Linked DNA regions of Ovis aries. The protein of the gene in region 2 interacts with the protein of the main gene of each other region in a pairwise test. Links are inferred from orthologs where the notes say so. Each region holds a gene or a part of one and is shown on either strand. Other genes may lie near its edges.

Region 1 (2,605 bases), on a different chromosome or scaffold from region 2:
AGATAAATGAAATGTGGGAAAACTAAAATGGAAATAGCTCTCCCAAGACTTTCATTGGTATGGGAGCTAAAAGGGAACTAATATTTTCTATATCTACTATGTACAAGGTCTTTTTTATATACCATAACTCATTTAATCCTCACAACTATCCTGGGAGGTAGGTGGTGTTATCTACATTTTATAAACAAGAAAATCAAGGCTCATAAAATTAACTTCCACGAAGTCTCACATGTAGGAAGTGGTAGAGTCGAGATTCCATCTCCATTCCCATTCTTTTCAGAACACACACCTGCCTCTTCAAGAAGAGAGCTGTGGGACTTCTTGGGTGGTCCAGTGGCTAAGACACATGGCTCCCAATGCAGGGGGTTGGGGTTCAATCCCCATTCAGGGAATTAGATCCTACATGTCACAACTAAAAGAACCCACATGTCGCAACAAAATTGAAGATCCTGTGTGCCATAGCTAAGACCCAGGGCAAACAAACAAATAAATAAATATTAAGGAAAGAAGAGAGCTATATAGCTGATTCACTTTGTTGTACAGCAGAAACTAACACAACATTGTAAAGCAACTGTACTTCTCCCCACCAAAAAAAAAAAAAAAAAGAATTCAAAAGAAAGGAAGAGCTGAAAACATATGAATATTTTTTTAAGTTTTGTTTTTATTTTTTATTTTTTTTTATTTTTTTTATTTTTTATTTTTTTATTTATTTTTTTTTTTCTGTATCGCGCCGATCACATTTATTGGAAGGGTTGGAGAAAAATAAAAATGCCGTTTAGCTGAAGTATTTGTGAGTTATCTACAAATCAACTTATTTCAGGAGTGGAAGAATTCTTGCTTATTTTCAGCATCAAGATGCACATCGGTCTCTCTTTGGAACATCTTCCACACTCAAAGAGGCCACCGCACAGCACAGCCCGTCTCCCACAGGCGGCGGATTCTCGTTTCAGCCAACTCTCAATGGCGGGGCAACCAGCACAACGCCGTCTCCCCGCACAAAGAGCATCGGAATATTCCGTTTTGTTGATTTATATATTTCTTCATATGTTTCTTCATCAATTTCTATAGTTGTCACAGTTTCTTCCACATCTCCCAATATCATATTTAAATGTTGATCATAAGCGTGTAACCGGCCTCGAAGTTCTCTGTCGTTTCTCATCTTCACGTAGATGCGCTCGTCCAGGCTGAGCCGGATGAGATCCAAGGGCTCTTCCACAGTGTTGGTGGTTTGTTGCTGGTCCACGTCGTCCGCCATCTTTCAAACCCTCTTAAGTTTTGTTTTTAATGTGGACCGTTTTTAAAGTCTTTATTTGTTAAAATATTGCTTCTGTTTTATGTTTTTTTGGCTACAAGGCATGTGGGATCTTAGCTCCCTGACCAGGGATCTAACCCATATTCCCTGCAATGGAAGGTGAAGTCTTTCTTAACCACTGGACCACCAGGGAAGTCCCCACAAAACGCATTTTAATTGAGTGAAGAAAATAAAACATTTCATGTTTACAAAGACAAAAGACATAGCAAAGAACTTGTGGAAAAGCTGAAACCAAGAAAAATGAGATTTTTGGAAGTTGGAAGACAGACCTTGACCAAATGAGATCATCTTTAGGAAAGAAGTAAAGCCTGGATCCCAAATTCTCTACTGCGTTACCCAGTATTTTCTCACGTGATGATGTAGCAACCACTTGGTAATCATGGAGGAAAAGAATGACATCTGGAGCCAGGCCGACAAACCAGAGCCAGCCACGTAAGATGGTGCCGAATGAAAATACTAGCTTCCCCAAGACACTCAGAGATCTTTCCCCAGCTTTTGGATGGCAGAAGGCAACGACAGGGCTTGCAGCCAGTGCCCCAGCATCTTCCTCCTCACCCCTTTTGACTTTATTATTCCTGATAACCTGGTCATGCATATACAGCTACCAAACATTAAGTTTTCTTGAAGTCTCACAGCTTTGGGTTTTCTTACCAAGTCATGTGACTCAGATCTAGGCCTAGGAAGTAAACACTGTTTCCTGAATCTCAAATACCCACTCTACTTATGTTATTCTACACCTCCAAGAAGCTCTTGTCAAAACAAGATTAAACACGGCAAGATTTTATTAGGAGAAATGACTGTATGAAAGTAATTAACCTCCAATTAAAATAAATAAATTTATATTTAAAAAAAAAGAAAATAGAGAAGGAGCTGTGAGTGAAGCCTGACTGGTAAGGAGGGAAAGAAGAGAAAAGGATGTATGGAAGCAGTTGAGACTACCAGGCAGTCTAAGGAAACTTCTGCAAGACCTTGAGCCAAAGTTGTCCAACAAAGGAGTCCACATGTCTGCCTTAGTATCCCTGCTGTACTAAGTCATGGGTGCTTCCCTGGTGGCTCAGATGGTAAAGAACCTGCCCACCAATGCAGGAAACCCGGGTTCAGTCCCTGGGTGGGGAAGATCCCCTGGAGAAAGGAATGGCTATCCACTTCAGTATTCTTGCCTGGAGAATCCCATAGACAGAGGAGCCTGGCGGGCTACATGCAGCTGCAAAGAGTTGGACACGACTGAGCTACTGAGCACATTCATTACTGTGATTACTAAGGACTATCTCTCTTGCTAAATTTTAAACTCCA
Region 2 (4,163 bases):
CTCCTCTCAGGGGGCTCGGGCTGGGCCGGGATGAGCAGCACTTGAATGGGTCTAGATACCCAGACGAGACCTCAGAAGGTCCACCTCGTGACCAGTGCCTAGTTGCTAGGGAATGCCACGGGGCCCTGGGGCTTCTGTAATCATGGCGTCTGGGGTCCGTTTCAGCTGATGTGGGATTTTCTTTGATTATTCATTATCATGCATCCCCTTTGAAACAAGATCTGCCCAGACCCTGGAATCAGGTAACAGCATCTCCACCGCAGTCCTTGTTTCACTGCCTCTCACTAGACTACAGAGACAACTGCCCAGCCTACCGCCTAGTTGGTCCTGTGACCCACAGCCAAGTCTCAGCCCCGGAGCCAGGGTGCCTGTCTAAAAATCTTGTCTCTTCCCTGCTGGATGCCCTTCGACAGCTTCCAATCGCAGGCAGGTGAACTGGACTCTTCACCGTGGCCCACAGGGCTGCTGAGCCAGGTCCCTGCCTCTCTCACCTCCTCTTTCACCTCTCACCACCTACTGTTCCATCCTGGTTCCTCCATCCACTCCAGCCACACTGACCTCCTCACCATCTCTGGACACACACACTCCAAGTAGAAATCACTCCTACGTGCTGTCCTCTGCCTGGAACATTCTCCCCTAAACCCATGCAGGACTCACATCCTTTTTAAAGGCAGATCTTGGTTCGAATGAATGTTTATCTATAAAAACAAATGCCAGAAGAATCCAACTCTATGATATCCATAAGGGGCGTGCCCAAACCGATGTACAAAAAGGTTTCAGAGAAAATGATGGGCAATTTTCAGGTACATGCAAAAGAAGATTCTGGAGACGACCTGCATGAAGACCCCAGGCCACTGGTTCCTGCCTGCTATCCCACTGGAGTTATCCTACACAACTTCCCACCTGCCTCACCTACTGTGCTGTCCCTCTCCCTGAGTAGAAATATCAGCTTCACAAGCAGTGGGATTTAATCCCACCCACTGCAAATCCCCACAACCTAGAATTTTTGGCATATCAACAGGACACTTTGTTCAATGATTATTTTTCCAAAGTGGAAACGGCTTTTCAAGTTTTATCTATGAAGTAAGTTAGAATTCATCATTAAAAAACAATTCAGGATATCTTGCAAAGTGCAAGGGTGGAAATCACCCTTCTTGCCATGTTAGGATATGGCTTTCCATATCCTTGAACCATTTGAAATTTGCTTATTCACCTTTTTGTTGCTGACTTACATAAATCTTTTCAGATGAAGAATACTAGTTCTTTGAAATTATGTGGAGAAAATTCTATCCCATGGTTTGCTAAATGGCTTTGTCCAGAATTTATAATGATTATGTGACAAACTCTGCTTCGCAGTTTCAGCATCATGTTTAAGAAGATATGCCCCAACCAAAGATTAAAAAAAGATATTCACTTACATTTTCCTCAAATGCTTGGCTTAACGTGAATATTTAACTCAATTTTTAAAAGTATATATATTTCAAAATCTTAAAGGACAATAAAGATGCAAATTTTAGATGGTGGTTATATTTTAGATGATGCTGCACTGGAATCCCAACCCCATTAGCCTACAAACAGTACTACTTTGAACAAATGTCCATTTTTATGCCTCTATTTCCTCACCTATAAAATGGGAAAACAAGCATTCTCAGTAACTTTTTGCAATTTTACTATTCCATAAATGTTCTAATGACAATTATACTTTTATATATTCTTTCTTCGGTTTATATATGGAAAGTTTCAACTGTTTTCACCTAAGTTTCTTTGAGGAAACCCATGCTCTGATGGAAAGTGCTTGTAAGAGAGCTGTACTTCTTAAAAAAAAAAAGAAGTTAGTATTAACTAAAGATCCATCTTAAGGTCTTAAGGCATCACACATAAAACAAAGTCAGTGTCTGTTCCGTACTGCTTTATGCCATGTGAAATTTCTTTCTTTCAAAGACTTGAGGAGGTAGGAAATACCCCAAATTCTACTGCAGTGGTTCCCAAACTTGGCTGATCTTAATTTGTGGAGGGTCCTTTCAAAATACAGATTTCTGGGTTTCACCTATGGAGATTCTGATAATCTGCCAAGGGCGGTAATCACTTTCTCATGTTAGTTGTTCAGTCATGTCCAACTCTTCCTAACCCACGGACTGTAGACTGCCAGGCTCCTCTGGTCATGGGATTTCCCAGGCAAGAATACTGGAGTGGGTTGCCATTTCCTTCTCCAGGGGATCTTCCCAACCCAGTAATCCAACTTGGGTAGCCCACATTGCAGGCAGATTCTTTACCGCCTGAGCCACCAGGGAAACCCAAATCACTTCGGACAAAAGATTATTCCCATTTTATGGATTAGGTCCTTGAGATCCAGAGAAATCCTATTTTACTCGAGATCATATTCATACACTCCAGACATACTGGGTCCCCATCCTTTGGCTCTGTGTTTCTCCTACCCTCCTCTCCTGGCCTGGAGAACCTCTCATCCTTGAGCCCAGCTCAGAGTGGTTTCATCTGTGTGTCCTGGCCGCCCTGAGTGGACCTGCCCTTCTGAGTCTCCCCGCCGCTGCCCTCGCCCTGTGGCATCTGAGGGTGTCCTCTAGGGCCTGCACGACCTGGGGCGTCCGGGTCCAGACCCCGGGCCATGGGTGGGCCATCCATGCTGCCCTGCACGCCTGGCCCCACAGCGGCTGTACCTTGAGGGTTATGGGCAGCCAGGTGCGCCGGTTCTCGTCCACATACACAGCCTTTTCCCACATCCTCAGGTGGTCCGGATGAATGGGTGTGTCCGCCATAAAGAACGGGCCCTCGGCCATGGTGCCTCGAGGGGTCTGGAAGCAAGTGCAGGAGCCGCTCGAGGCTTCTCGCTGGTCCACGGGCTGCAGAACCTCGATGCTTTATAGTCGGAGGGCGCGTGGGCGCCCCCAAGAGGTGGGATTGGAGGAGGGGGAAGTGAGAGGAGGGCGGAAGGGGGCTGGGCTGGGAGAGGGGATGGTGGGGCGGGGCTGGGCTGGGAGAGGGGCGGGACGGAGCGGGCCGGGCGGGGCGGGCACAACAGGATCCGCGGGCCCTGCACCCAGACCTGCCTAGTGTTCTGAGACCCTGGCGGCCTCTAGCTCAACATGCAGTCCCACAGACTCAGGGCTTCCTCTAGACCCCAACCTGAGCCAGCCATGTGCTCCCCACTGCCGGGGAGGCACTCAGGTCTGTGGCCTTGGCCTTTTCTTCTGTGAGCAGGCACCAGCGCCCTCCGCCCCCCTGGATGCCGGGACTCCACTGTGTGGGGCTCCTTGGAGCCACCCTGCAGACTGGGACTCTGAGCCTCTGCTTGGAACTCACAGCCGACGTTGGGCAACCCGGAGCCAGGGCCCCCTCTGCATCTGGGATCAGAAGAAATGGGTGCAAGCCTGAACGAGGCCTGGACTTTTCCCAGGTTCACGGCACCACTTTTACCCTGTGGATTTGGGTGTCAGGGTCAATTTCCTTGGTAAATTGCAACTCTTGAAGCCCCTGTGCCCTTCCCCCCCACATTTTCCACTCTTTGATGATGCTGTGGTCATCTAATAGCTGTTGTGAAACCCGGTTGTGAAGAAACATGGGTTTTTCCCTTTATAGGCTTTGTATTCATTAGTGAAAACATCGTTCGAAATAAAGGCTTAAAAAGAAACCCCTCCCTCCATCCCAATATCAATGGATTTGAGGAGTCCCTGTGTTATAGGATCACACTGTCTCCCAGTAAATTGCATCAACTGAGGAAAACAATTTCACTTTATTTTGCAGTACCACATGCCCATTAAAGCAATTAGGAAAATAAAATACAATGAAAAACATGTAAAAGGGGCTCCAACCTCGTTGCTCAAACATCACCCGTGGTTTCTTGCCTCACCTTCCAGCTCTTTCTCATCTCTCTGACTAGTCGCTGAGAAAATTGTCTGTGATCTTTTGAAAATGTCTCAGAAGTGAAAATGACCTTGACACCTGAGCCCGCTGACAGCAAAGGTATGAATCTGCATCTCTGCCTATCCAGATAGCTTAATTCCTCAGAAGGTGCTGAGGTGGCCTAAAGAAACAGAGATACATCAGGATTTACCACGAACACAAAACAGAAGACAGACACCAAGTAAAGTTGAAAGTGGAGGGAGGTGACTTTAGTCCAGGAAACCTCTTTCCCACTGCAGTCCCTA
Region 3 (4,331 bases), on a different chromosome or scaffold from region 2:
ATCTTCATTTCCTCATGCGGTATCTGTCATTGTTACGCTAGCACTCCAGAGTAGGCAGCCTTCAGTGGTTGCAGTGCACAGACTCTGTGGTATGCGGGTTTAGTTGCTCTGTGCCATGACGGATTTTTAGCTTCCCAATCAGGTATGGAACCTGTGTCCCCTGCATTTCAAGGCGTATTCTAACCCACAGAGAAGTCCCCCAAATACTTCTGACTCTGAAAGGATCTTGAGGACTCTCAGGGGTCTGAGGCTCATCTTTGGAGAATCATTGTTTCCCATCAGTGGTTCTCAATGAGGCTGAGGAGGGGAGAGGGGGATCCATCTTTCTTCCAGGGACTTTGGGCAACTTCTGGAGACATTTTTGGTTGTCACCACTGGTGGGGTGGTAGTGGATGCTAATGGCATCTTGCTGCTGCTGCTAAGTCGCTTCAATCGTGTCCGACTCTGTGCGACCCCAGAGACGGCAGCTCACCAGGCTCCGCCGTCCCTGGGATTCTCCAGGCAAGAACACTGGAGTGGGTTGCCATTTCCTTCAATGCATGAAAGTGAAAAGTGAAAGTGAAGTCGCTCAGTCCTGCCTGACTCTTAGCGACCCCATGGACTGCAGCCTCCCAGGCTCCTCCGTCCATGAGATTTTCCAGGCAAGAGTACTGGAGTGGGGTGCCACTGCCTTCTCCGAATGGCATCTAGTGCCCAGGGATACTGCTGAACACCCTGCTGCGCCCAGGAGAGTCACCCCCCACCCCCACGCTCCCGCGGTCTCAAATAATCCAGTTGGAAACGTTACACCCTTGAGGTTGAGAAAACTTGGTTTACAAAACTGAAACCACAACACTGAGAACAATCTCAATTTTTCAATTTCCTACACACTTCCCTGTGTTACACTTTCCCACTTTATTTTTCAAAACAGCTACTTTCGGGTCATAGTTCTTTCTTCTTTAGAGACGCTGCATCCAACTTTTTGGCCCCCTCGGCCGCCCTCCCCCGCCGACCCCTCCCCCCCGGTTGAGCTACGGCCCTCCCTGGTCCTCTCCCCACCCTCATATACTTTTATAGTTGGGTTTGCCTCTGTCCTCAGCACTTGGCTGATCTCAACTAGGTTGTAAATTCCTTCAGGGAGGGCCGCATATCAATGCTCTCGATTTCCCCCAAAGTCGTTTTCCGCCCTCTACCTGCTGACTGGATTGGCCTCGCGATACCACCAGCGAAGTCCTCTCCACGCGCACTCAGCCCGCGCAGACGCAGTTTCCGTCGCTCCCGAGCTGTGGGCACCAGCGCTCCGATGCTCTCGTCTGCCGCTAGAGGGCGCGCCCAGTCCGAGCGGCCCGGACTACCAGCCTCGGAGGGTAATAATGGGGTGGGGGCGGCCGCCGTGACTTCTGGGACTTGTAGTCCCAGGGAAAGGATTGCGGATGAAAGGCACTGAGTCGCCTCTTCCCAGCTCGCTGCTCCGGAAGGTTCGGACGCCCTAGGTCGACCAACCTCCTATCTTGGAAGACCCGGCATCTACGGCAAGCGGGAAGGAGGTGGGCACGATAGTTTCCGTTTCCGGTGGGTAAAGGGCAAGCGGAATGTAAACAGGGGACCCGGGGAGTGGCCTTCGGGTAACACAGGCTACGGGTCAGTGGTGGAAGTCGGCGGAAGTTGGGGGAAAACGAGGCGGGTGGGTCTTGGGGTGACTGGAGTAAGAAGCTTCAGAAGTCGGAGTTGAGGCCCACCGCGGGTGTAGCAGAGCCAGGACGCTAAGGTTGGTCTTTAGGGACCAGCAGTTTTGGGGTTCAGGCCCTTACCTGGTGCTCGCGCCCCTGGCGGGAGGAGCGGAAGGTAGCTGACTTTGCACCCCGGGGATGGGGCCCGTGTCTGGGGCGGGACTCTGAGCTCGCGGGTGACGTCCTGGGCAGCCCTTGTGAACTTCGCAGTTTTTTTGTGTACGTGTTTGTGTGTTCAAAATGAGGGGAAGTCGCTAGAACTGGTTTCTTTCTTGCGGGAACGTGTTTCGGGTAAATCGTTTCTTGCGGAATCCCTCACCTCCGAATACATCCATATACGCAGAAGGATGCTGTTTTGCTTCCTTATTTGTGTTCTTCAGTTTCCTCGCCTTCGTTGCTTCACTTTCCGACGCAGTGAAGAGAAGCATTCTCTAGCTTGTGGCAGGGTAAATTGTCTGTGTTATTCTTGTTCCCACACTATGTTGGTTTCCCTGGTGGCTCAGTGGTAAAGAATCCGTCTGCAATGCAGGAGACCAGGGTTCGATCCCAGGGTCAGGAAGATCCCCTGGAGAAGGGAATGGCAACCCACTCCAGTATTTTGCCTAGAGAATCCCGATGGACAGAGGAGCCTGGCGGGCTGCAGTCTATGGGGTCGCAAAGAGTCGCACACGACTGAATGGCTAACACACACTGTTTCGTCTCTCACATTGCCTATTTGGAAACTTGAAGCCAGAAAACTTAATCATCCTCATTCTTGTCACCTTTAGGGACAGTGGTAAATGCAAGGCTTCTTAACATGACTTATTCTAATATCTTGTGAGAGCTTTCTAACGATCCATTCTTATATTCTCTTTCTGTACTTCTGGACTTAGGTTCCATAGTAAACACACTTATATTTCAGGCTTTTTGTTGTTGTTGTTCTTTCCCTATGTTACTTGCAGTAATCTTCAAACATAGGAAACTCATTCTCCCCTATTACCATGGGTCTGGGAAGAGGATTTGGCTTTGTCCTCATTCCCTAGTATAGTTTATAATCCATTACTCCTGCAGGCTTTTCTAAAAATCTCTGCTCCTATGGAAAGCGTGTGGTTTACCCCTGTCAGCCTATCCATTCTTTTTTGGTTTGCTTTGGGGTTGTGTTTTTTTGGCCTCCCTTCTCTGCAGGTGAGGTCCTAGTTCCCCAACTAGGGATAGATCCCATGCCCCCTGCAGTGGAAGCATGCAGTCCCAATCACTGGACCCCCAGGGAAGTCCCACGCAGTACATTTCTTGATTGCTGTAGTTTATTGACACTTCATTAAGAACTTAGGCACATGATCCACGATTTTCTTACCTCTCCAAAATCTGCCATTGCCTTGGGCCTTTCCATGTTAGTGACCTCATAGCCACCCACACTTTCTTTTGGTCTCTTTCATCCTAGCGGTTACTTCTACTTTATTTCAGTGTGCATTGGTGATGACGAGCTTGGTAGCTGCTGGAACTTACTATTTCATTACTTTCCATTATTACTCCCACGATGCCCATTCTTTGATAGTCGTGTGTAGACCTCTGGTCCATTGCTTTTCCTTATCCCAATAGTTGATCAGTCAGTTGATACTCTCTTTGGGGTTGTAGGCTCCTTTAAGAATGGAATGAAAGCATAGAGACTCTTGTGCAGGGTACAAACATATAAAAATTCATTTACAATTCCAAAGGTTTCTCAGTATCTATAAACCTATCCATGTAACTAGCAAGAGTTCTTGATCCCTCAGTAAATCCCTTCTCGAAATAAATACTTGTTGAATTCTTCTAGGGTTTTCTTTAACTTTGTTCCATCAATTATGCTTGCTCACTCAGCCCTTATATTTTGTATTATTATTGCAGTTTTACAAAGCAGTTTAACATTTGTTATCATTCTGATTAACCATATAGTTCTGTGAATTAAATCATTTACCAGTTTTGAATCTTTCAGAAACTTTTTATGATGGAAAATTTCAAACATATATGCTAAGAGAGAAGTACAAAGATTCCATATACTCGTCACCTAACTTGATCACTTATCAACTCAGCAATCTTTTAATATGTGTATCTTATATCATATTCATCATTACTTTGAAACAATTCCTAGATACTGTGTAATTTCATGTAAAATGTATTAATATGTATTCCCAAAAGATGAGCATACTTTTTGTCAACATAATACTCTTATACCTGAAGAAGCAGGAATTTCTTAATATCATCAAATATGAAGGCATTGTTCTGATCCCCCATATTATTTCTTAAATTTTTCCTCCCCATTGGCTTGTTTGATTCTGTAACTAAACAAGATCCACACATTGTGTTTGGTTTTGTTTCTTAAGTCTCTCTTAATCTAGGGGGTACCTCCTAACTTTTCCTTTTTTCTTGAAGAAACCAGTTTTATTTTTCCTTAGTTTCTGTTCCTTGTTGTCTTGTCTCAGGCATGTTATTTAACATACTCCTCTGTATCCCTTATTTCTTATAAACCAGTAGAGATATAAGGTGATGTAGTGTTAATTTTGGCAGGAATACTTCATGGCTGCTGTGTCACTTCCATCAGGAGATACATATTGTGAACTTGTCTTTCTTTACCGTGTTGGGCTTCCCTGGTGGTTCAGGCAGTAA

What was found. The genes of interacting proteins can lie anywhere in the genome.
Region 1: the proteins of TCL1A (region 2) and U6 snRNA-associated Sm-like protein LSm3 interact in binary tests that used the Homo sapiens proteins (3 or more experiments, as listed by UniProt). The two-hybrid records come from large-scale screens. The link is inferred for Ovis aries from reciprocal best matches to the Homo sapiens genes TCL1A and LSM3.
Region 3: the proteins of TCL1A (region 2) and TTC33 interact in binary tests that used the Homo sapiens proteins (3 or more experiments, as listed by UniProt). The two-hybrid records come from large-scale screens. The link is inferred for Ovis aries from reciprocal best matches to the Homo sapiens genes TCL1A and TTC33.

The regions. Positions count from the first base shown.
Region 1 is NC_056080.1:116,710,620-116,713,224, reverse strand, and holds U6 snRNA-associated Sm-like protein LSm3, read right to left. Parts: upstream 1,269-2,605; 5' UTR 1,256-1,268; coding exon 947-1,255; 3' UTR 644-946; downstream 1-643. UniProt on the Homo sapiens protein: Plays a role in pre-mRNA splicing as component of the U4/U6-U5 tri-snRNP complex that is involved in spliceosome assembly, and as component of the precatalytic spliceosome (spliceosome B complex).
Region 2 is NC_056071.1:58,269,246-58,273,408, forward strand, and holds the start of TCL1A (T-cell leukemia/lymphoma protein 1A), read right to left. Parts: upstream 2,881-4,163; 5' UTR 2,796-2,880; coding exon 2,676-2,795; intron 1-2,675. UniProt on the Homo sapiens protein: Enhances the phosphorylation and activation of AKT1, AKT2 and AKT3. Promotes nuclear translocation of AKT1. Enhances cell proliferation, stabilizes mitochondrial membrane potential and promotes cell survival.
Region 3 is NC_056069.1:33,889,544-33,893,874, forward strand, and holds the start of TTC33 (tetratricopeptide repeat protein 33), read left to right. Parts: upstream 1-1,388; 5' UTR 1,389-1,551; intron 1,552-1,564; exon of another isoform or gene 1,565-1,747; intron 1,748-4,331.